Drosophila melanogaster: one gene and its partners. The protein of the gene in region 3 interacts with the protein of the main gene of each other region in a pairwise test. Each region holds a gene or a part of one and is shown on either strand. Other genes may lie near its edges.

The links.
Region 1: the proteins of Act42A (region 3) and capt interact in a two-hybrid assay, tested with the Drosophila melanogaster proteins (2 studies listed by BioGRID).
Region 2: the proteins of Act42A (region 3) and ac interact in a two-hybrid assay, tested with the Drosophila melanogaster proteins (one study listed by BioGRID).

Annotation. Positions count from the first base shown.
Region 1 is NT_033779.5:1,151,178-1,161,079, forward strand, and holds capt (capulet), read right to left. Parts: upstream 5,135-9,902; 5' UTR 4,792-5,134; coding exon 4,569-4,791; intron 3,877-4,568; coding exon 3,375-3,876; intron 3,230-3,374; coding exon 3,105-3,229; intron 2,555-3,104; coding exon 2,209-2,554; intron 2,142-2,208; coding exon 1,594-2,141; intron 1,524-1,593; coding exon 1,000-1,523; intron 939-999; coding exon 855-938; 3' UTR 501-854; downstream 1-500. Other genes in the region: Vps29 (vacuolar protein sorting 29), read left to right, coding at 1-234; Tango14 (transport and golgi organization 14), read left to right, coding at 7,799-8,290, 8,579-8,923; CG5080 (uncharacterized protein), read right to left, coding at 9,267-9,902.
Region 2 is NC_004354.4:366,422-372,763, reverse strand, and holds ac (achaete), read right to left. Parts: upstream 2,734-6,342; 5' UTR 2,671-2,733; coding exon 2,065-2,670; 3' UTR 1,817-2,064; downstream 1-1,816. UniProt on the Drosophila melanogaster protein: AS-C proteins are involved in the determination of the neuronal precursors in the peripheral nervous system and the central nervous system.
Region 3 is NT_033778.4:6,012,281-6,019,426, forward strand, and holds Act42A (actin 42A), read right to left. Parts: upstream 3,410-7,146; 5' UTR 3,297-3,409; intron 3,143-3,296; 5' UTR 3,121-3,142; coding exon 1,990-3,120; 3' UTR 1,630-1,989; downstream 1-1,629. Other genes in the region: Pngl (PNGase-like), read left to right, coding at 5,553-5,928, 5,984-6,075, 6,138-6,973, 7,029-7,113. UniProt on the Drosophila melanogaster protein: Actins are highly conserved proteins that are involved in various types of cell motility and are ubiquitously expressed in all eukaryotic cells.

The DNA of each region.
Region 1 (9,902 bases), on a different chromosome or scaffold from region 3:
CTGGACGTGGACATCCTGATCACGGGGCACACGTACAAGTTCGAGGCCTACGAGCACGGCAACAAATTCTACATCAATCCGGGATCGGCCACGGGTGCCTTCAACCCACTGGACACCAATGTGGTGCCTTCGTTCGTGCTGATGGACATTCAGAGCACCACGGTGGTCACGTACGTGTACCAACTGATCGGCGACGAGGTCAAAGTGGAGCGCATCGAGTACAAGAAGATCTAGGGTCCTAGTATTAGCCACCAGCCATTCCCCTCCAATCCAACCCTTGACCCCTGCATTCTGAGCTCGGCTTCATTAAAGAAATTGTAAATGTACGTAGCAATAAATCAAGTTCTCATTTTTTTATCTGATAAAAAATGCTAGCACCTTGTTTAAATAGAGAATAAAAGTACGAACGGACGAAAGTGAAGTTTTAGATTTAATGCAATAATAAACGATTACAAAGTAAGGAAAAACACCCCCAGAAATTGTGATACTCCCACAATAATCTGATAAAAAAGTTTAAATTTTATTAAATAGAATATAAAAAGGAGTTACATCTGATGATCGAGTAAAGAGTCTGCTCAAAAGTTCGGATTTCATGCTCAGTTTCTCATTGCAACACACTCTCGATATAAATACATTGGGTTCGGTTTGTGGCCATCGCTTTTCCATCGAAATAAATTATATAAATACTTTCCACGAGCCAGGACAGCAATGTTTGGCAACATCATCAATACGAAATGTTTGATCTAAAAATCTTTGAATTACGAAAACTTTGCACTTAGATTAAATACAATTATGATTGCTGCTGACGACAGTTGGAAAAGCAACGAACAGGATCCCCGAGGAGGAGAACCGCCTTAGCCGAGGCTGTCCACGCACACAGTCTTCAGGGTCTTGCCGGCAATCGTGGTCTTATACTGCTCCGGTAAAGCCAACTCGGTCTGGAAATCACAAAAAAAATAAATAAATGACTGAAGACAAGAGACAAATTTTTGAACTCACATAATCGCCGCTGTCGTCGGGCAACAGGATGTTCATCTCCGAGGACTTGGAGTTGACGATCTCCACGCCCAGCGAGTCCTTGGACAGATACATCTGGCAGCCGTCGGTCTTGTCGATCGATACCGTCGGCACCGAGCCGAGCACCTGCATCTGCACGCTCTGGCAGTTGACGAACTCCACGGAGGCCACCACGGAATCGAACAGCAGGGAGCACTTCTTGCAGGAGTCGAAGACGATGTTGTTCACCTTGCCCTTGACGGTCAGAGTGGATCCCTCACACTTGAACACATACACCACGTTGTTCATCTCGGCGTTCTCCACCAACAGCCCGGTGTTGTTCTTCTGGTACTCGATGATCCACTTCTTTCCGTCGCGCTCGAAAACGGGCGCCTTGGCTTGCGCAGCTGATGGAGCAGCAACGGCCTTGCTGCCGCCCGACTGGGCTGGCGATTTGAACGGAGCCGGTCCAGTGCGTAGAGATGGATTTTTATGGGTCTGCATGTCGCCAGTGACCTTCTTCAAGCCTGCGGGTTTATCAAAAGATACATTTTCTTACTATAGGAGCACTTAACCATTTTTGCAGTTGCTGCTCACCCTTGGTGATGTCGGCACCCTGGTTGATCTGGGCGAAGAGGGCGCTGCGATCATCTCCGGCGCTATCCAGCTTGAGGGCACTCAGATCCAGCATGGGCGGCGGTGGGGGCAGACCACCGGGTGGCGGTGGTGGCGGGGCACCTCCGGCGGGGGCCGCTCCCTTGCCGGACCACACCAAGCCCGTGGTGTGGTACTGCCGGATGTAGGCCTGCAGTTCGGTGAGCGTCTGCACCCAGGCGCGGGCCCACTCCACATGCGTAACATCCTTCTCCTTCCACTCCTTGAGCACGCGGTTCGTGTAGAACTGGCCGGCGTCGTTCATCTCCTTGACATAGGGACCCGGGGTCTTCTCCACGCACACCCAGCCCAAGGCGGGAATGCTTTCGCTGATGGCCGACAGGTGGTTGAAGAAGGGCGAGGAGCGGTGCTTCTCGCGGAAGTCCTGGATGGCGCTGATCTGCGTCGAGGTCGGCTTCAGAAGCTCCGCCTGCTTGGGCTGCGCCGGCTGGGCGATCTGGGTGGCCAGCGTCACGTACTGCAGTTGGGAGCTGTTGCGGAATTGAACGATGGCATTATTACACTTTTACCATAGATGACTCATCCAGACTGACTCACCCAAAGGCGCTCTTCACGAGCTCCGCATGCTGCGCCACATCGCCGCCAATTTTGGCGGAGAGAGTTAGGTATTGGCTCAGCGGACCCGCCACAATGTCCTCGAATCCGGCGACACTCATGTTGCTGCTGGGCGGCGAGGGAGGTGGAGGTGGTGTCTCTGCTTTTTCAAAAACTGGAAGAGCTTCTTCTTCTTCGGCTGGCGGAGGCGGGAGTGTGGGCGTGGGCAGTTCTATCGGCTGTGGCGCTGTTAGAGTCCGTTCCAATCGGTCGACGAGGGTCTCCAGTCGCTCGCAAATGCTCTCCAAGTGGTCGACGGCGGCCGAGGGCTTGGCTTCCGGCTCGTTATCTGAACCAAAATGACGCGGAGGAGAACGGCAAATGTTTAGTTCGTTTTGGCAATTATCTCGAATTATTCAAATAACACTGAGTTTTATAAAGAAAATAACTTGAGTGAGATGATGCTTCAGCGTGATAAACCCCAGTGAATCGTGCACTCACAATACCTGACAAAAAAGGCGATATAAACTAAGGCGTCTCGAGAGGAATACCTCATCACGAGCTTGTGTATGATGATGAACTGGTGCGCTTAATACTTATAAAGTTCAATATGCAAAAAGAGCTAATCCCAACGAGTGAAAGTAATAATCCACATGCAAAAACGGCACAAGACAACGAAAAATCATAAGAGAGAAGAACTAAGTTGAACCTTTAAACGGAAGCACTTGACTTGCGAACTTATTGGCCATCAGGAAGTTACGTGAATCGCTAGACTCTCAAAACTTCTTCACAGCGAAAACGAACACATAAAGAACACAGAAAGTCAAGCATCCGCTTAAATAACTGCTGAGATCGAAAAAAAAAAGCAAAAGAATCGGACTCTATCGAAGCTCGCATACCCCGCACGGCCACGCTATGCTCCACAGCCGCATGGGCGGCCCGCAGGAGCTCCGTGTAGAGACGCTGGCGCTTCAGCTCCAGCTCGTCGCGTCCCACCGGCGTGACCGGGGGCTCGATGCAGCCGCTGGACATGGAACGAGGACAGAGGAGACGATGTACTGGCAATTCAAAGCGGGGCTGGGAATGCAGGGGTCGACCTGTTCTGGTTTCAGCTTAACTATATGGATATTTTGGGCGTGAAACCAAAACAGGATCTTGGGTAAGCATACATGTCGTTCAGGCGCTCGTCGTCGAACCACGAGGGTAATCCGTGGGCAAAGAAGAGTGTTTCCGAGACGACATCCCCCTCGATGTAGGGTGCACACATGCTCTCCCGCTTGGGTGGCGGCAGTGAGTCGGAGAACACCTCGTCGTCGTCCAGCAAGGAGCCCTGATTCTGGCTGGCCAGCAGGAGCAGTGGCAGTGGATCCGGCTCGATGATCTCCGCCCGGTTGCTGATATTCACCTTCTTCTTGATCGACTGATGCGTTGAGTTGTGCCTGGACAGGCAGCTCTTGGTGGGCGGCGGCTGAGGAGGCGGTGTGGTCGGCGTGACCGTCGCCACCACCACCACTTCGTCCGCCTCCTCCGCGTCGCCGCTGGTCATCGAAGCAGGTGGTGCCGTGGATGTGGAAGAGTGCGTTGAGCGGGCCAGTGGCTCCGGTTCTTTGGGTGCTAGTGCTGGATTTGCTGGTGATGATTTGCTAGCCGCTTCAGCCTGAGTTGGTTGGGCTGTGGAAGTGTTGCTTAAGATTACTCTACATGAAGCGACGAATTACCAAGACGATCATCAAGGAAAGCGCCGATACTTAAGTTGATTACTTCACTTCACTCTCTGCTCACCTCGCTTCCTGTCTTCATTATGTTTATTTATCGCATTTAAAAGCATTTACCATGGTCACTGGCAGATTGAGTAGTTAGTTTTTACTGCTCACCTTATTATTATAGAATCTATAGAATCTTGAATTTTCTGTCTAAATTATTGACCTTCATTTTAGTTTCTATATTCGTCACTACTATATACTATACGTTCACTTTGATGGATGAGCACGATCTAAGTGCTCAACAAAAAGTGTGTATGCAATGTCATTAGCTATTCCTCATTAATCAACTGAGAATCGGCGCAATTCCTTGATATTCATATGTATAAAATTCACAGAAATAAACCGAAGAGAAAGCACAGTGAAGACAACTCATAAGTAAATAGAAAAGGACACTCAAGGCAGCTTGAAGTGCCCGGATTGAAATGAAAGGAAAGATCAGAAGTGGTGGTCAGCTGCAGTGGCATTGCAGTGAGTGAGAGCCGGCCGGATAGGGGCCTTCGTTCCGGAGAGCAGACAAAAGCCGAGACAGCTGTTGAGCTCGAAGGCCGGAGAACGCGAATAGATGGGGTGGTGGGTAAATACTTAGCGTTGCGTCAGTACCAGTGTTTGGCTGGGTGCTTGTGGGCACATCCTCGGGATTATGCGCTTCCAAGAGCTCCTTTTCTGGTTTCACAGGCTCTGGCTCCTCCTTCGGAGTTCCTGGCTTGCCGTTCAGCTGGGGTTCCTCCTTTTCGGTGACCTGTCCGCCGTTCTCCTCCTCTGCGTTCCGCTTTTCCTTCTCCTTCTTGCCCGCCTTGGGGTTCGATCGGCAGCAGGAGAACATTTTGCAGGCGTGTGGCTGGGCTTTTCCGGTGCTCAACACTCTAGGTACGAATCAAGCACATTATGTAAGTTCCGTGGCTCGACTGCGGATGCCCGTGAAGCTCAAGCGGCGGTCACAACACTGACGGCACACCAAACCAAATCGAATCAGTAGAAGCAGTAACAGCAGCAGCCATATAAGACACTCAACGGGTTTCCAACGAACGTGGCCACTCCTTGCTCACTGTGTACATATATTCAGTGTATGGCCCAAATTTAGTGGCACATTAATAAGGTCCTCCGAGTTGTCCGCGCCTTCAACTGGGTCAAGTGACTGCCGACCAAGCACAGAACCAAATGGCACACAAATGCGATTACACACGGAGAACAGAACACACCCTAAACGAAGCGCACGCCCACGCACTCGGGGATTCGATTCGATTTCGAACTCGAACTCGAAGGTCTCAACAGGACTCTGTTAGGAGAGCTCCGCGCTGTTAACTGCTGAGTTTCGCCGCCTTGTTGGGCTACTCCGCGCTGCTTTTGACCATTTGGGGCCAGCCACCGACTGGCAATGAAATGTGTTTCATTAATAACCGCTTTTGGCCTGACATGCAGGATTTTGTGCAAGCTCCGGCGATGTCTTGCACTTTTGCAGCAGAGAAAGCTTACGGTCCAGGCGGAAAATGGAAAACTCTCCGAGAGAGTTGCGCAGACACCACTGTGATTTCGTGATACCCTTCTCGCCACGGGTGGCGCGACTTAAGTGAGGGAAAACCACGGCGATCCCATAGTTTTATCAGCCCTGTAAGGCAGGGTTCGCCTATCAATTAGTTGTGACAACACCGAGTTATCTTTACTATTTGGAAAGTTTCCAGGAATGATCGGTAATGAAACTATGATTCCATTTTGAGCATTACCATAACGTTTGTAAGCCATAGAGAGTAGAGAGATGCAATGATCATATCTTAGCCGGCTATAAAAACAGTTTTAAAATGTTCAGCTTTTTGTGAAGTAATCTGCCGCAGAAGAGTATAAAAACGTCGACGTAACTGAAACTCCCATATCGTTTGCTTGCCAGTTTTTGTTTTGGCCTTAGTGCAATGGGTTTATTGCACCGGCAACGTTGTTTTTGTTTTTAAGTAGCTTTAAACAAATGGCTGGCAATTAGAGTGGGAAATGCATCAGTAGCCGTTGGATTGGAGGGAGGGGCTAAGCCGCCGAGGACAAGTAAGCCGAGATTCAACTTTCGCCTGGCGATACTAGTTCTCCTTGCAGTCTTGATGCGTTTTCTGCGGCAGATGCGTTTGTTGCGTGCAGAAAGCAAAGAAGAAATGGGGAAGAAAAACTAGAAACCAAGATTAAATGTCTGCAGCTGAGGAACCGTTATTCCCGCTGCGAGAGTGTGAGTGAGCTCGAATTACCAGGGGTGGGGGGTGTTCGTAATGGTAGAAGAAAAATCGCCCACCTTATAAGGCGAGGTGTTATTTTCTTCCACCGAAATCGAGTGAGTGGTAATATCTGCCGATTTTCAATCGCGATTCGCTGATAAAAGCGTTTTGGCCAACTTTTTGACTCATTCGCGCACGAATACAAGCAAACGTGTTTGCTCTTGCGTAAACTACATACATGCATACATACATATGCATATCAACTATGTGTCTGTGAGTCAGCGAAACAAAAACAAAAAATGGCCACAACAGCTGAGTAGTTACTTTTTTTTATCGGGGGTTAACAATCGCAATGGGAGCTGCTAAGGGTTAATTTGCATACACTTGCTGGCAATGAATTAGTTGTGTCTTTATGCCATGGAATCGGATATGAAATCATCGTTAAAAATACACCATGTAGATTTAATTTTACAAGCAACATGAATCACACAAAAATAGCCATCACACAGCTGTCTCTTGTCTTTTTGGCTCTCTTCGCTGTTGTTGTTGTTGTGTGTGTACAAACACCCACAGCCTGCATCACACACACACGCTCAAATTCGTGACAGCACCACCCACCCCTCACCAATAACCGTTAATTCCGCAGACACTTTCAGCCGGCGAACGGGAGAAGAGAATTTGCGAATAATAGCAAAGCCCCGTTTAAATGAACGTTTTTAGCAACAATCAGGCGTTACTCACCTTCTTTTGCTGCTGATGAATTTGCAAGGATCTGCAGTTGTATTCCAATTAGAACTGACGAGAAGCTGCGTAGCGAACACCGGCGAAATGGCGAAAATAATAACTTGGCGTGGCCTTTGGTGGGACCAGGCGTACATTCGTGGAAATAGTCAAGCGAGTTAACCCTTATGTGGGTGGCAGAATACTAAAAATATATGATACAACAAATTTTAGACTTAAGAAAACGGATGTTTAAATGTATAAAATATGATGGAAGTGCAATAGCCAAGCTTATAAACTAATTCTTAAATTATTTGCAATGCATTTAGGACTTTTCGATATACACGTAAATAAACTATATTTTGATTGAACACGGTACATTTCTACTAGAGTTCACCTTCAGATATTGACGCTATTTCTTGTCCTGTAAATTATTTTGTTAAATCGTTCACATTGTATGTCTAATAAAGATGTTTTCCAATAAAATGTTATTCCCTTTTCACTTAGTCTAACATATTCATTAAATAATCAATGTTTTATTTTTTATTTAGTTATTTTAATTAGTTCTTAATTATAAAACTGCTCTAGATTCTCGATATTTTGCGGAATCCGGCGCATGGTCACACTGACGAACACGTATTTTCATTATTCTTGCGAAGCGCATCGCTTAAAACTTGATTACGCTCGGATAACAAGATGCACCCGCGTCTCAAGTGACTGAACAGGTAGCGAAGTGACCCTGGATGAGCGTGGGTAGGCAGCCGGCACCTCTGGAAAGCCCTAATCCCAGGTCCGCCAGCCGTTTGCAGGTTATGTCCGCTTGTGTACACTGTGACGGGGAACCGAAGAAGCAACAGGAGCGGATTCCTGGCAGAAGAGACAACCGCTGTACGAGATACCGCCCCTGACCTGCGCAACATGATCGAGGTGCTGTGCCTGCTGCTGGGCAGGATCCTGCTGCTCCTGGTCGGCGGCTACGAACTGATGTGGCGGCTCCGAGAGCGACTGAATGCACTGGCCGTCCGGTCATATGACCTTTGGCGCAGCAAAGCGGCACGTGAGGCGCACGAGCGGCGCGTGCTCGCTGACTGCCGCTCCCAGTTGACGAAGACGCCGCAGCATCTGGTCCTGGTTATCTCCCCCGTAGATGCCGGCGTGGATGCGGTGCTCCTCAGCAGGATCTTCGACTTTGCCCTGGACGTGGGCATCAAACACGTCAGCCTGTACGACAGGCGGACGAAAGGCAGGGGATACGTGGACATGGCCGATCTCTGTCGATCCACCAACGCGGACACGGGCAGCTGCTTAAAGTGGCCACCCGTAGCCAGTCCCAGCAAACTGGAGAACCAGCCCAAAAACGGACAAAAGACAAATGGTTATGTGAACGGTTCACATTCCCCTCAACTGCAGGTGAGTGGCGGCGTCTGATAAGCCGTGATTAGTAATGGACTTTAGAACGATGTCGGAAAATGTCTTACAAGTATTACACTTTTTGTTTCAATTGTTAAATAAAAGAAGTAATGAGCTGGAGATTTAATTTAGTTCATCATTCACATGAGATACAAAAAATTCTTCGTGCTGAGAACCAGTTTTACCTTTGTATCCATTAAAACCTATGTATAGCAACGTAATCGATTCCCGGAACTAGTCGTTGCCTTATCAGTTTCTAATTGACTTTTCGGCTTCGGCGTCTTTCAGCTCCATCAAATCAGCGCCTCCGACGGCCATGCCCTGATCGCCGACGTCTGCCGCGAGTTGTACGAAGACAGTAAGACGGAGTTGGTGCAGAGCCTACTTAAGCAGAAGCGCGAAGCGCTGACGGAGCAGATCAGCGACATGCTGAGCAAGCGACTCGGGTTCGAGGCCCCGGAGCCGGAGCTGGGCATCGTGTTCGCCCGGCAGACGTGCACCTACGGCCTGCTTCCCTGGCACGCGCGCTTCACCGAGTTCCACACGCATCCCAGCGGACGCCACTTCGACGTGGAGACGTTCGCCAGCATCCTGTGCAAGTACTCGCGGTGCGAGCAGCGGTGGGGCACGTAGGCACATCGTTCGCGTGGGTAGCGACACCCTTATATTAACTAGTTACCTTAACATTATGTAAATTATCGCCAGGAATTCCTTTTAGTTCGTAAGAGTAAACTGCAAAAGTGTATTGTTCACATGAAAGTGTCTTTTGCTGGAGAGGATCGCGCGTTTCTAATGGCGGTGCAACGCAGCAGCTCGTATCTTGTACATAATATTCGATCTTTATTGAGTGACGTTTTGCTGTGCTTAAGCTTAAGGCGCAACTAGATGAGTATATGTAAGTGGGCAGACTTAAGCGCTATGGTTAAAAGTATTGTATTGCTTTTCGTTCAAGTGTCATCTCCGGCGCTCAGCCGCTCTACTCCCGACCGGGCTCAGCGTGGCGCTTGGACAGGAGATTGACGTCGGTCAGATACGTGTTCTTGTCGATGTTGTGCGGACCGGGACCCGTGGGCATCCGCTCGTGGAGGCCGTGGAAGGAGTTGCGCAGATCCTCGAGGGAGTCGGCCAGGCCCTTCTTGATGCTGGCGAACTCGGTGGACATGAGCGACAGCTTGCCCAGCAGATAGTTGAGGTTCTCGTCCATGTCGATCATGTGTTTCTTGGTCTCCTCCACGCGGCTGCCGAGACCCATCATGGTGATGAGAGTGCTGTTGTTGTAGCCATCGGAAGCGGACTGGATATCTCCGAGCATCAGCCGGCTCTGGCTGATCTCGCCGGCCATGATCTCGATGCGGTGCCACACCTGGTTCAGCTCCGTTTCCAGCAGTCCGCTGATGTTCTTGTTCGCCTCCTGCTGGATGCTCACCACCGCTCCGTCCAGCGACGAGAAGCGCTCCTTCAGCAGTCCGCTCAGCGTGGCCATTTCCTCCGCCAGCAGCTTGCCAACCCGCTGCACCACGTTCAGTGTGCCGAAGTCCACCTTGCGCTGCGTGTCCAGCACGACCTCCGAGTTGGTCATCATGATGTTGTTGAACTTACCGAGCGCTTCGAG
Region 2 (6,342 bases), on a different chromosome or scaffold from region 3:
GTCGACTAAAGGTTTCTCTATATTTGAAACATATAAATGGGAGTTCTGCCTTCAAAAATATTTGTGAAAAAATGAGCTAGCCGTTTTAAATGTGGTACGAGTGCTATTGCATACAATAATGTAATATTTTTCTCATGTGCGCTTTTCTTTGCAATTATAAATGTACTATAAAAACTGTTTTTTTTTTTTTTTTCTCAAAACGATAATAATAAATTTATTTTCCAGCCTTTTAAGGTTACCTATTACAGAAAATATGCTATATACCCATTCAAGCTGAATTCAGGGTACATATACGTGGCTAAAACCACAAAGGGTCTTTTAAAAAGACCCCGGGACGATCTGGAGCAATCTGCTACATATTTCTGCATATATTTCTGGGATCGATCGCCCTTTCGGAGCCATGTCAAACGTATTATTAACTTCACACAAAAAGCGTTCGATTTTGCACCGTTTGCTGTCGCAAAGACATTGTGTCGTTCGTATGTCGCCCATTGAGACCGCCAATGGAGGGAAGAGAGCCCCTACAGCCTTTACCCTTTTTATACCCGTGGCTCAAGGGTATGCAATATTTGTGGAGAATAATGCAACAGGTAGACGGAAGCTTTTCCGACTCTTAAGTGTATATTGCATAAAATAAGTTAAAATTATCAGTTCGAAGGCCCAAAGCCACGCTAATAAATGAATTTCCTGTATATATATAAAAATATCATATATATTACCTCCCTGCACTTAATGATGTATACAAAATATATACATATGTACATGTAGCATAAGTATATAAGGAATATTACATTAATAATGGATATGTTAACGGGTAACTGATAGCCGAGACACTTAGGTGTAGCTTACGTTTTTGGGTTTCAGCTTTTCAATTCTTTTAATATATATATGTGCAATGCAAAAACAAGAAAAGGCCGGAAATAATAATTCGATACATATGCCACGGCTTACGTTCATTAAAAAGTATACCTTCCACGACTCAGGTTCATGTAAAAGTATAATATTTATGATTAATAGACAAGAACTAGGTATACAAATTATCAATTTCTATTAGTGTTTTATTGTTGCTAATGAATAGATTGGTGTGTGATGTAGTGATCTAATATGGTGAAGAATTTGCCGAAAAGACCCATGAACCATGTTTCTTTTGTTTTTAGAGTATATGTATCTTGCGTGAGTTTTTTTTGCAGCAGCTTCATCGCGGCGGCTTCCGGTGCAGAATGCCTGAGCAGATCTTATTTTCATTTTTCTGAACGTTGTCGGGGGCGATCTGAACAATTGCCGACCGTTGTTTTTTCGCTTGTTTCGGCTGCATTGCGGGAATAACTCAAAATTAGTTCATTCATCGATCGATCGATCGATCTCTCCGGAATTGTGAATTCTCAGGATCTTATTACCTTGACCGGTTCATATGCAAAAATGCAGCAGGTAAATATTTTGCCTTTTTCACCCTACTCAATCCAACTTTATTTATGCAAATCGGCGTTTTCGATCAAAAGTGTTTACAAAATGTTATTGTAATTTATCTTCATTGGCTAGTGATCTGTAAATACTTAACGGTTACAGTTTCGAATACTTTTTTCGGGCTTACCCCGAATAAAGCGTATACTAGGATCGTTTAAAGGAATGTACCAGGTAAAAGGAAGCGTGTCCTGTGGTATACAGGACAGGATCAAGTTTGTATCAAAACATTGCTACGCCCATATTCATAAAGCATTTGTTCATTAAAACTTTTCTGAATTTTACTCCTTTTGTACATAAATTTGTTTCACTTTAATTACCGTTTAATTTTGTTTACAATAAAAACTCATTTAAAATTTTATATATATCAGTTTAATGTCCTCAATGTATGCTATAAAAAAAAACTTAAATATAAATTGTCTTCCATTAGAAACTATCCTTAGAAACTATATAAAACCTTAAATACTAATTTATAAGGCAAAAAGGTAGTTCTAGGGAATATAAATACTTTGTGGCTGAGGTAATACTTGTTGGCCAATCAATGGTTTGATGTGTGTTATGGTTGGGTGCGACTAGCAATAGCTGAAGATTTGATCTGTTTTTTTACAGGTCGTCCTGCCAGAGTGATATATAGTCGAGGATGTCCTCATCTTCAGTACCAGAACTGCAGGAATTGTTACGGTAGTCTTCAAAACTGGCTTCCAACTTGGTATGAAAATTGTTAGGAGGTGTTGCTCCCGGAATCGTCGATGTTGCTGGCTTGCAATAAGAGCTAATGCTGTTGCAGGAACTTGTGCTGCCAGTTGGAGATTGCAACTGCAACTCTTGGTGCCAGGCGTATAAGTGTTGATGCTGTTGCTGCTGCTGAAAGTGCAAATGTTGCTGCTGCAAATGCAACTGTTTCTGTTTCTGCTGGTCGTTTTCATGAAGAACTTTCTGCAAGCGCCGTATGTACTCTACTGCCATTTTCAGTGTGCTAACTTTGCTCAGTTTTTTATTGGCGCCGGGACCAATTCCCCGGCGACCATTGCTTAAATCGGCTATTACGGCCGCAGGGATATGTTGTCGTAGTTGGCTGAAGCCATTGTTGACCTGCTTTACGCGGTTGCGTTCCCGGGCATTTCTCCGGATAACAGAGGGTCCATTAAAGGCCGAAGATGACTCCTCGTCGTCGTTGAAAACAGAGTGATTTTCGCTGCCCAAAGCCATTTTAAGAGATAGTATAACGTTATTGTGTGACGATGCTCCTTGCTTCAGCGCTGGCTCTGTTCTGATGCCCTTCCCCGTTCCGTTCAGGCTATTTATAGGTATCAGGGCCTAGGGATCCCACCTGCGTGACTACCTACCTGCCCCTGGAAAAGGTGCAACAGCATCATCACTGAAGGATCGTCTCTTGAGATGAGTGTTTTCTCTGATTTTAATAGAGAGGTAGTAATATTATCTCTCGTTCTCTCTGTAAAACGCAGCTGTTGGTGACCTGAGTGTTCCCGTTGTCGAGTGGGAAGAGTTTCTGAGTGTTTTTGCTCATTTTCAGCTGCCTGTCGTCCCCAAACGAAAACCTGGCCCTGTCGCGTGCCGGCTGCCAACCGGTTTAAAAAGGCAACAAGGTCCAGACATCAGAGCCAAGTAAAAACACCTCCGAAGTAAAAAGCTGTATCTCCTATTGAAAGTGGCCATCCAATTTGTATAACTAACAAAATACAACAAAATTAGTGGAATAGACTGTCATTACAATTATAAAAATGGGGACATTTACAATTTATACACTACCAAAAGTGTTTACGAAAAAATAATCTTTAATTAACAAGGCTAGGTATTTTAGACTTTTAAAAAATCTTTAATTTTATGTTAATACATTTAATTTAATTTATTTTATGTACTGATGACCTTCCGATCCCTGGATCATTCGGACATTATCTTAAACACTAGACCATTGTCGCTCGAATCCAAAGTCGTAGGAATTTTCAAGGCCAGCTCATCAACACCTCAGGCGGCGATCCATTCGGTCCTGCAACGAAACCTGATCAGCCGGAGGCACTTTTCTATTAACACTTCTAATGCCCCGGGGCCTTTATGCCCAACGTATCAGTTGTTGTTCCTCTCAGCCGAAAGCATTTTGAAAGCATTTAGGAGGTCCCCATTATTTCTTAAAACCATTGTCAGAATTCTGGTTGCACGCTAGGAAACCGTGCCGAAATAGATTTGTATTGGCACTAACTCACACTGAGCCTCGTTTAACACTTCGTTGCTGTAGCCCCGGGGGATTGCATAGCATTACATGTGAAAAGGACATCACAGGGCATCTAAGCACAGACATACCAGATGTCCAGAGGCTAATAAAATCAAACATATCCGGTCGACCTTGCAAAATCCGTGTTGATGTAATATAAATTTGCCGCGAAGCATTGAGACAAGGTATTCAGTGTCAACCAGGTTTATGAATTTGCAATTTTATTATTATTTTTTGCTTTGAATATCGCTTAGCGCCACAAGTGCTCTTCTTGAGCTTTTCTGCTTGATAACGACTAAATAGTACAATAAATGTTACTAAGACCCTGCGACAGAAAACCGAAAAATCGTGACGGGATAAACTTAAGGGGGGAAGAACTGAGATCTGAATATATGGCGTATCAACCGAATAAAGATGAAGTCGTCATTAATATTGACTCGGTCTGCCGATTACTTGACGTTGTTTCATTTATTCCACACTTCTTAAAGCGGCATGCTTGCGACACAGTAAGGCCTCGATTACAGGACAGCTTCCGTACATTTCAGTACCAATGTTGATCGTACAGGTATTCTAGCCGATAAATGAAAAGTATGTACAAAGTATGTACTCATGTTTATTAGGGTCTTCAAAATTGGGAGCTTAGAACTGTAGAGCCTACGCCTAGGTGCCATTGAATTAAATGTTGCTGCTGAATAAATAAAAAGTCAACTGTCAACTGTTCATGGCCATCAAATTGCCATCCAGAGATTACCGATCTCCGGACGATGAAAGGACGAAAGCCGCCCATGGTTTTGGTTTTGAGTCCCCCAACTTCCCACTCCATATAAATATCTGATTTATGAGAGCAACGCGAATATGTCAACGAAACGATGTCACATCTAAGGTGAGCGTTTTAACGCCGCCAATTCTATTTGGTCGATTTCTTATATCACCACTGGCAATAATATTTATGGCCAGGAGCAAAAGCCAAGCTCCTTTTGAAATTCAACGAAGAAAGATGGCGATTTTTGATTAATTGTAGTGCGAGAGCTTTGATTAATTGCTGGAGGCAAGCGGCTCCAATATAACAATTTGTTTTGGCGTTGCATTAAATCAGAAAGGAAGAAGTTTCTGGCATCATCACGGCGAGATATTGTAAGACCAACACCTTGATAGCCTTTGCTGCCGTATTTATGAGTTGGCTTAAAATTTATGAATGGTCCACGGTTTTGGCCTCGAACATCGAGAGCAGCGAAACACTGTGAGAAAGAAAATACGTTTTTTATTCCGATACATTGTTAATAAAGCACATTTTAATGTGATAATTTGTAGTTATTGATTTATTAATATTTTATTATTCTTTCTAACTATCTTTAGACATTTATCAAGACAGAATTTAGAGCTTAGTCATGCTGGGTAACTGTTTCGGCACAATGTTTTCTTCGAAAAATTACATTTTTAAAACGAATATATATTATTTTAATTTAAGAGTAACAGGTAAACAAATTATAAAAAAAGAGTTGACCAGTTATTGTGTTTTCCTGTAGAGCTCTTAGTAATTTACATGTCTTATGGAATCAAGAGCGTCTCGCATATTGCGCACCAGCCAACAAAACCAATCAACGCGTCTGTCAAACCTGGAAGCGGTTGCTTATCGGTAGCCGCGCTGAAATCAGCTTCTGGCACTCACGACCGCAGAAAGCCTGCCAGCCGACAGTTATGCCAAAACCCCCTTTCCCCACGGGAATACAGAAAACCAAGTGCACCTTCAACTGGAGATCGACCCTTTAGCAATCCGTGCTCGTTGCTCCTGTCACAATTACAACAGCAAGTGCGGAGAACTAATGACAACTACAGTAGCAATTGCTCCGCACTGTGGCAAAAAATACAAATAATTTCAATGCCGTATCATCCAACCAGAATGCAATTGTCTGAACTATTCACATTTTTAAAACCCAAATGTAAATATTTAAATTCAATAGCAGACAATAATTATTATTAAAAGAACTTCTCAAGATCTTAACGTGTAAAAATGTATTTCCTTTAGAAGACTTAACTAGTATTACATATTTCTATAAAAAATATATATATATTCTAAAAGGAAGGTATACAAATAGTCTGTTGCAAACTGATGATCCCTTAATTTAAATCATATTTTCGCACATCCTCGAATCACTATGCAAGTCGATGCGGAAACCTGATATTGCACACACGCGCCTCGTAGCCAGAGTCGTAAGTTGAGGTCCTGAGGTCTGGTGATGTGGATATACAGGGTTTTGGAAGCCTGTCGCCGAGGCTCGCGACTCTTTTTACCTTTTGGCATGTGCGTGCAGTGCAATTAACTTTTGTAGTAAGTCAGCCGAAGCAACACTTGACATTGACTTGGCTGCAACAAAAACAGATGTAGAGATCGGGATTTAAAAGCATGGACTTGGGGCGACAATTTCACCTGTTGCCTTTTGTCGCTGACACAGTAACTTATATTATTTGCATGCGTGAAACAGGTTTATACATATAAAAGTTAAACTCTTTGTTTTGACTACTACGTACTATCTACAGAATGGTTTAGTTTTAGTTTTTAGAAGTAGGCGTGGACAATTAGGGTTAGAGTTCATGTTCCAATTTAAGTGGTCGCACGCTGTGAACACAAAATTGGATTATCTAGAAGTATT
Region 3 (7,146 bases):
ACAAATAGAAAAAGCAACACAAACGCCAATCATTAAATATATGCTAGCTACTGGATACTTTGCAGTGCCCAATAGCTAAATCCATATAATTACTTATTTAGAATTTAAATGTAATTTGTAACCTTAACATAATATGCATAAACAAACATACATATACGAAAACATGTACATTTAGAACCAAGAAAATATTTCTTTATAATTTATAAATATAAAATTCTTTAAAATTAAACTCAACTTTGTTCACTCATTCTTTTATCTATTATGGAGGGCTTGAAAAAAGGCAAGGACTTGTTTTAAAGTCACTCAGTTTTTGTTGAAATATTCCAAGATAGCAGTTTTAGTGTTGATTTCTCAGAAACATATTTAAAAAACTCAAATTCTTATAAACAACAGTGAAAATAGTAGACAAAGTCAGCAAATTTCCCCGTCACATTATTTTTAACGCAAGTCCTTGCATACACAAATTTAAGAAATATAAAATGCGCATAAGTATTAAAAATTTTATTTTGCAATTCAAAATCATTTTGTTTTTTACTCAGACCATAGGCGGGGATTGGCAAACTTCTCTTTCCTTACCTTATTTTATTAAGCTCTGATAATTTTATTAGTTCTAGTTTGCTGACCTTACTACTAAAATATACAAATTAACCAAGTATGTATGACACACGCCATAAAATGTTGATAACTGCCAGAAATCGAAAAGTTATGTGAAAATATTCCTATTTTTAAAGTATTGAAATTGTATTGAACAAATCTACCTATCGATGGATTTGGAAAATACATTTATTTAAAGCCAGCTTCCAGCGTAGAAACCCAAAATATATTGTTTACAGCAATAAAGTTAGTTAGGCATTTGTTGCAGTGACTGAAGTCTATAACGGCCTCCATATATGGACATCGACGATCGACGCATGCGCTCTTCTTACGAATCTACTTTCTGGCTACAGTTCATTAAATTTGGTCAACGCGCTTGTCCAGATCACCAGCAGATTTGCTAGGGATCCCCCAAATGAATTTCTCTACGTTTCAACACCCAAGTGATAATCGGATGGGGCGGGCCGGGCCCCACCTATCAACAAAATCGGGCAAACAATGCCAATTGATGACAACGAAAACTACTCCGAACATTCGTGAGTGAGTCAACATGGCTTTGTTTTGGTCTCGATTTGCAGTGGCCAGTGCGAGTGCGATTGCGGTATTCCTCCACTATTTCCTTATAAGGTAACGCTGATGCAGCTGCTTTTGGCGTTTCACTTGCTTCACTCGCAATCAATCAACGTAAAAATACCGCTTAGACTGGGTGGGGTCGGGTGATAAGCGGAGCGAGTCCAAACTGAATCACACCCTATGCTCAAATGTACATATATCCGATTCGACAGAAACTGCAGGCCATAAACTGGCTTATCAAGGCACTTCCTGCAAACCGATGCTTGCTCCCATCTGACTTAAACACAAAAGCAAAGCATGCCTTATTGGTTAGCGCTTTATCTGACGCCTCCGCCACTGCATGCCAGTGGAATGAGCACATAGCCATCGGAATATCACGGTCTCAGATTGCCTCTTACTCATGCCAGCCAAATGCTAGCTTTTTTGGTGGAAAAAATAATAGAATAATACAAAAGGAATTTTCAGTTCTTTTCGTCGCTTTATTATTAAGAAGCGGTTACAAGTATTTTAGTGGTATGGTAAGTTTGCTTTTAATACATATGTAGGAATGCATGGAAGTAATGTAAATGCCAAACATGAATCAGTTTTATAAATGCTTATGTGCATATGAACTTGAATTTCGAATAGAACACAATATGGTTTGCTTATGCGTCGTGTACAACTGTGTATAAAAGTGAATGGAATGCATTCTTCTGAAGGAGCGGAAGTGTTGTGCGCCTGCTCCCGGTATTAATGTACTCATGCCCAATACTTTTGACTCCCATCCTTTGTCTGCAATGGGTGTGTTCGATGAGGAACGACCACGCCCAGCCCGACTACTGCTTAGAAGCACTTGCGGTGAACAATGGAGGGGCCCGACTCGTCGTACTCTTGCTTCGAGATCCACATCTGCTGGAAAGTAGACAGCGAAGCCAGGATGGAGCCGCCGATCCAAACAGAGTACTTGCGTTCTGGCGGGGCAACAATCTTAATCTTCATGGTGGACGGAGCCAACGCCGTGATTTCCTTTTGCATGCGGTCAGCGATTCCCGGGTACATGGTGGTGCCGCCGGACAGCACAGTGTTGGCGTACAGATCCTTACGGATGTCGACGTCACACTTCATGATTGAGTTGTAGGTGGTCTCGTGAATGCCACAGGCCTCCATGCCGAGGAACGACGGCTGGAACAGCGATTCGGGGCAACGGAATCGCTCATTTCCGATGGTGATGACCTGTCCATCGGGCAACTCGTACGACTTCTCCAGGGACGAGCTTGAAGCGGCCGTGGCCATCTCCTGCTCGAAGTCCAAGGCCACGTAGCACAGCTTCTCCTTGATGTCGCGCACAATTTCACGCTCGGCGGTGGTGGTGAAGCTGTAACCGCGCTCAGTAAGAATCTTCATCAGGTAGTCGGTTAAATCGCGACCGGCTAGATCCAAACGGAGGATGGCGTGCGGCAGGGCGTAGCCCTCATAAATGGGCACAGTATGGGAGACACCGTCGCCGGAGTCCAACACGATACCTGTGGTACGGCCGGAGGCGTAGAGAGAAAGCACCGCCTGGATGGCAACATACATGGCCGGAGTGTTGAAGGTTTCAAACATAATCTGAGTCATCTTCTCGCGATTAGCCTTGGGGTTCAAAGGAGCCTCAGTAAGCAAGACGGGGTGCTCCTCCGGGGCCACACGAAGCTCGTTGTAGAAAGTGTGATGCCAGATCTTCTCCATGTCGTCCCAGTTAGTCACGATACCGTGCTCAATGGGGTACTTCAGGGTAAGGATACCACGTTTGCTCTGTGCCTCATCGCCGACATAAGAGTCCTTTTGTCCCATTCCTACCATTACGCCCTGGTGACGTGGACGGCCGACAATAGAAGGAAAAACTGCACGCGGTGCGTCATCACCGGCAAAGCCGGCTTTGCACATGCCGGATCCGTTGTCGACCACTAAAGCTGCAACCTCTTCGTCACACATTTTGTAGAAATTTTATTTGGATCTGCAAGAGAAAAGAAATCTGGATGTGTACACTAAAAAAACAAGGAGACAGGACAGCGGCTAACGTAAAAAAGAACGCAGACGGGACCGACCCCTTCCAGAAAGGAATAATAATGACCGCACAGACAAAAAAAAGTGTTGGGCAGGAGTCTTACCTTTTATGGAAATATGTAGGAGTAGTTTCTAGTTATCCGCTGCACACACTTAGCACAATGACAGACGCTTTAAGATTGAATTGACCGACGCCTACTTTTTCGAGTTAAAGTGGTTGAAAAGTAGTGTGACCATATACGCATAAAATTATGGTCTTTTTTACTTCCGAAGTGACTCCACCAACAATAAATGTGCGATAAGTTGGAAACGGTGAAGACTGGAGAGCGGACTTTTTTTAAAATTTTTTATTCATTGGTATACTGACGTGTTATCAACAAATTAGAAATGATCTAAGAATCCTTGAAAATGCATTTAAAAATTATGCAGTGTTCTCAAAATTCGACCAAAAGGGTTTTGAAAATACCGCCAAATGCTGTACCTGCACCACAGGGAAATCCATGTTATGAACCGATGTATAGCACTATCATTTCGACGCTAACTTTCAGAATGTATTACACCGTTTACAGAGCGTTTTGCCAAGTGGCCCGGTATCTCAACCTTTTGTTTTTAATTTCATTAACTAGCTGTGAAAGCTTTTGCATTAAGCTATGTAGAGTTTTCCAGGAAGTTGCAATTTCAGAACATATTTCAAAAAGTGTTGTGTGACATGAAATCAGCCTTAAATAACTTTTATATTAAAAGGACATGAATTTAGTTGGATTTTAACAAATATATATATATAAAATACTTAGGTTATTTTTATAATTTGCGTATGTACCTTGCGTACGTATGTGCCTTGCAGCTGAGAATATTTTCTAATGTTGGACAGAAACAGATACAAACAACATTCCCAATAGGGAATTCGCTCTTGATCAACATCTCTAGCCGAGGCGACCTGGCGATGTACTAATGTTAGCATAGACATCAAAGTCTCTGGAACTATATTGGTAGGATGTTAAAACTAATCATGCAAATTCTAGTGACGCCTACTTCGGGCAAGTTTGTTTTATTGTATAACTACGCCACTTTCACTCTAACGTCCACAAGCCACAAAAAACTGGCAAGCCCACAATTTTAAAATGAACTTGTTTTCGATTTCCAATATATGCAATGTATTCATCTAAATATTTTGCAGGAATATAATTTTTTTAATCTTTATTCCACATGTACGCTTCAGAATTGGTTGCTAAAACTGAATAAAGCGAATATCCAGTAATTGGATATCTAATATCCATTATACATTGTCTTTAGCATTCTCCTCTGAGAATAAGTTTTTTTTTCGCATGATTTCAATTGATATTTTTTACAATAACATAATTGTTTATCTCTAATTTAATGAAATAAGTTCGAACGTATCCATTACAGAATCCCTGAAATCTTTATAAGCCGAATATTATTCAGACTAAGAAGTAGCAAGCGTTATTCATAAAGATAACAAATAGCGTTAAAAAATATTGAAATATCTTGCCACATGAAAAACGATCTGTAAATGGTGTAACACATTTAGCAAGTTAACATTGGTATGTTGTTGTACATCGGTTCATGTCACTAATTTGCTTGGTGCGAGTGCTGGAGCTGGCAGTATTTTCAAGTCCCTTTGAGCTGTTCCTACTGTAAGGCGAATTTTCGGAGAGCTGTGCATAATTACTTTATCAATTTTCCAGGATCCTTGCTCTCATAAGCTTTCTCTTTGAGCAACAACAATGTAAACTTAATTTGAAACATGAACCGTCCATTTTAGAACACCCTTAGTCCTAAGTGGATTCCTAAAAATTTTTTTTTATTTTTCTATTACATTATGTATTTAATATATAATTTATATACTTCCAAGACCTAATAAATATTGGGAGTTCCAAATCAAAACATTCTTCGATCGCTACTAACTAAAAATGGTAATTGAATGCTTTGTGTATTTTTAATCCGTTTTTTTAAGCAAAAGATTATTGAGTAATTTTTATAATTTCAACACGTGATAACTTAATATTTCTAAGTAACTTATTTCCTATTTAAAGCAATTGTTGAAATTTAGAGATTTCTTACCTTTTTTAAAATGTCTATAAAAAGGAGATCCAAGCTCTATTTTTCGTGCATAAATTTGTTGTGCATCCCCACAGGAAAAGAACATGTACGCTAGTGGAATCCGGCTGGCTTCATTCAACAAAAAAAAACCTAAAAAACACCTCTTTTGTTATCGCTTGAAGTTCGCTAAACTAATCGCGTTTTCCAACACCATAACCCTTTGTGTCTGCATGATTGTCATCCGCCGGCCACCCCTACTAACGACGAAACCAATCTGATAGTGGCAGCTGGTCATCAACATGGTGGACATAAACTTGGAGTGCGTGCACCAGATCGAACCGAAGACCCGTTCTGCTGGTCAGCAGCAGCAGGAGCGAGGGTTAAAGGAAGCCTACCTGGAAGCGGTCCGCATTCTGTTAGTGCTGCTGGAGAACATCTTGGCGCAGCCGGAGAACTCCATGTTCCGCACCATACGGCAGGAAAACAAAGCTATTAAAGAAAAGCTGCTGTCCTTGCCCGGCTGTGAGAGGTTACTGGAAGCCATAGGCTTCGTACGCGCCCCCAGTTCCAACGCCTACACCTTGCCCACAGAGGTGTCACTGCAGCAGGTGAAGAAGTACAGAGATGCGCTGAGCGAGAGACGCACTGCCTGGCTTAACGGCACAGTGTCAAAAAGTAAGCTTTGGGGGCAAGACTGACATCCTAATCATCATGTCTCGGATTTTAATAGGTCCTCCTCAACAAAGCACCACCAGCACCACGCCCTTGTTCATCAAGCCTTCTGTGGAATATCGCCATAGAATCGCCTTCCCCCGTGTATTGGTAAGCCAGCCATCGAACAAGATAGACCTCTGCTGTATTCTGATGTGGAAGCTTGTTTTCAGCGCACCAATAATAACTTTCTGCAGTCGCTAGAGCTTTATTCCGATGCAGTCATGCAGTACGAGGATAACCTGCTGCTGGCTACTGGCCGCACTCTGATTCCTGTGGAAGAGCTCACCGAAATGGCAAGCGAGAAACTGATAGACATCCAAGATCAAATTGCGTCGGGTGAGCGCCAGGAGAAGGAGCCATGTGTTCGCGACTTGCTGCTTGTGGAGCTGGTAAACTGGTTCAACACGCAGTTCTTCCAGTGGGTAAACAATATACCTTGCCGCGTGTGTGGGAGTGAAGAGAGCAGGCTGCGCCGCACTGAACGGGAAGGTGATATAAGGGTGGAAGTCACCGTTTGCTGCGGCCAGGAGAGCAAGTTCTACCGCTATAACGACATTTCCCAGCTCCTAGTTTCCCGTAAGGGCCGTTGCGGAGAATATGCCAATTGCTTCACATTCCTCTGTCGCGCCCTCGACTACGACGCCCGTATTGTCCACTCGCATTTTGATCACGTCTGGACCGAGGTGTACTCCGAGGCCCAGATGCGTTGGCTCCATGTTGACCCCTCCGAGAACGTTATAGATTCTCCGCTGATGTATCAGCATGGCTGGAAACGTCACATCGACTACATTCTTGCATACTCTAGGGACGACATCCAAGATGTGACTTGGCGCTATACTAATGACCACCAGAAGATTCTACACCTACGAAAGCTGTGCGGGGAAAAAGAAATGGTGCAAACGCTGGACGCGATTCGAGCAAAGCGGCGGCAAAATTGCACCGCCGATCGAAAGTTATTCCTCAGCCAGCGCAATATGTACGAGGTCATCGGCTTGACGCTAGAGCGGTAAGCATTTACAGGAAACTGTTCGAAATTAAATTTAATCCCGTTTCCTGTTTAGTAAGCCGACAGAAAACGAGCTGAAGGGTCGGAGTTCGGGAAGTCTTTCTTGGCGGCAGTCACGTGGAGAGCATACTTTTACCAATGTAAGTGATCTGGCCTGAGACGCGCTGCCGGCC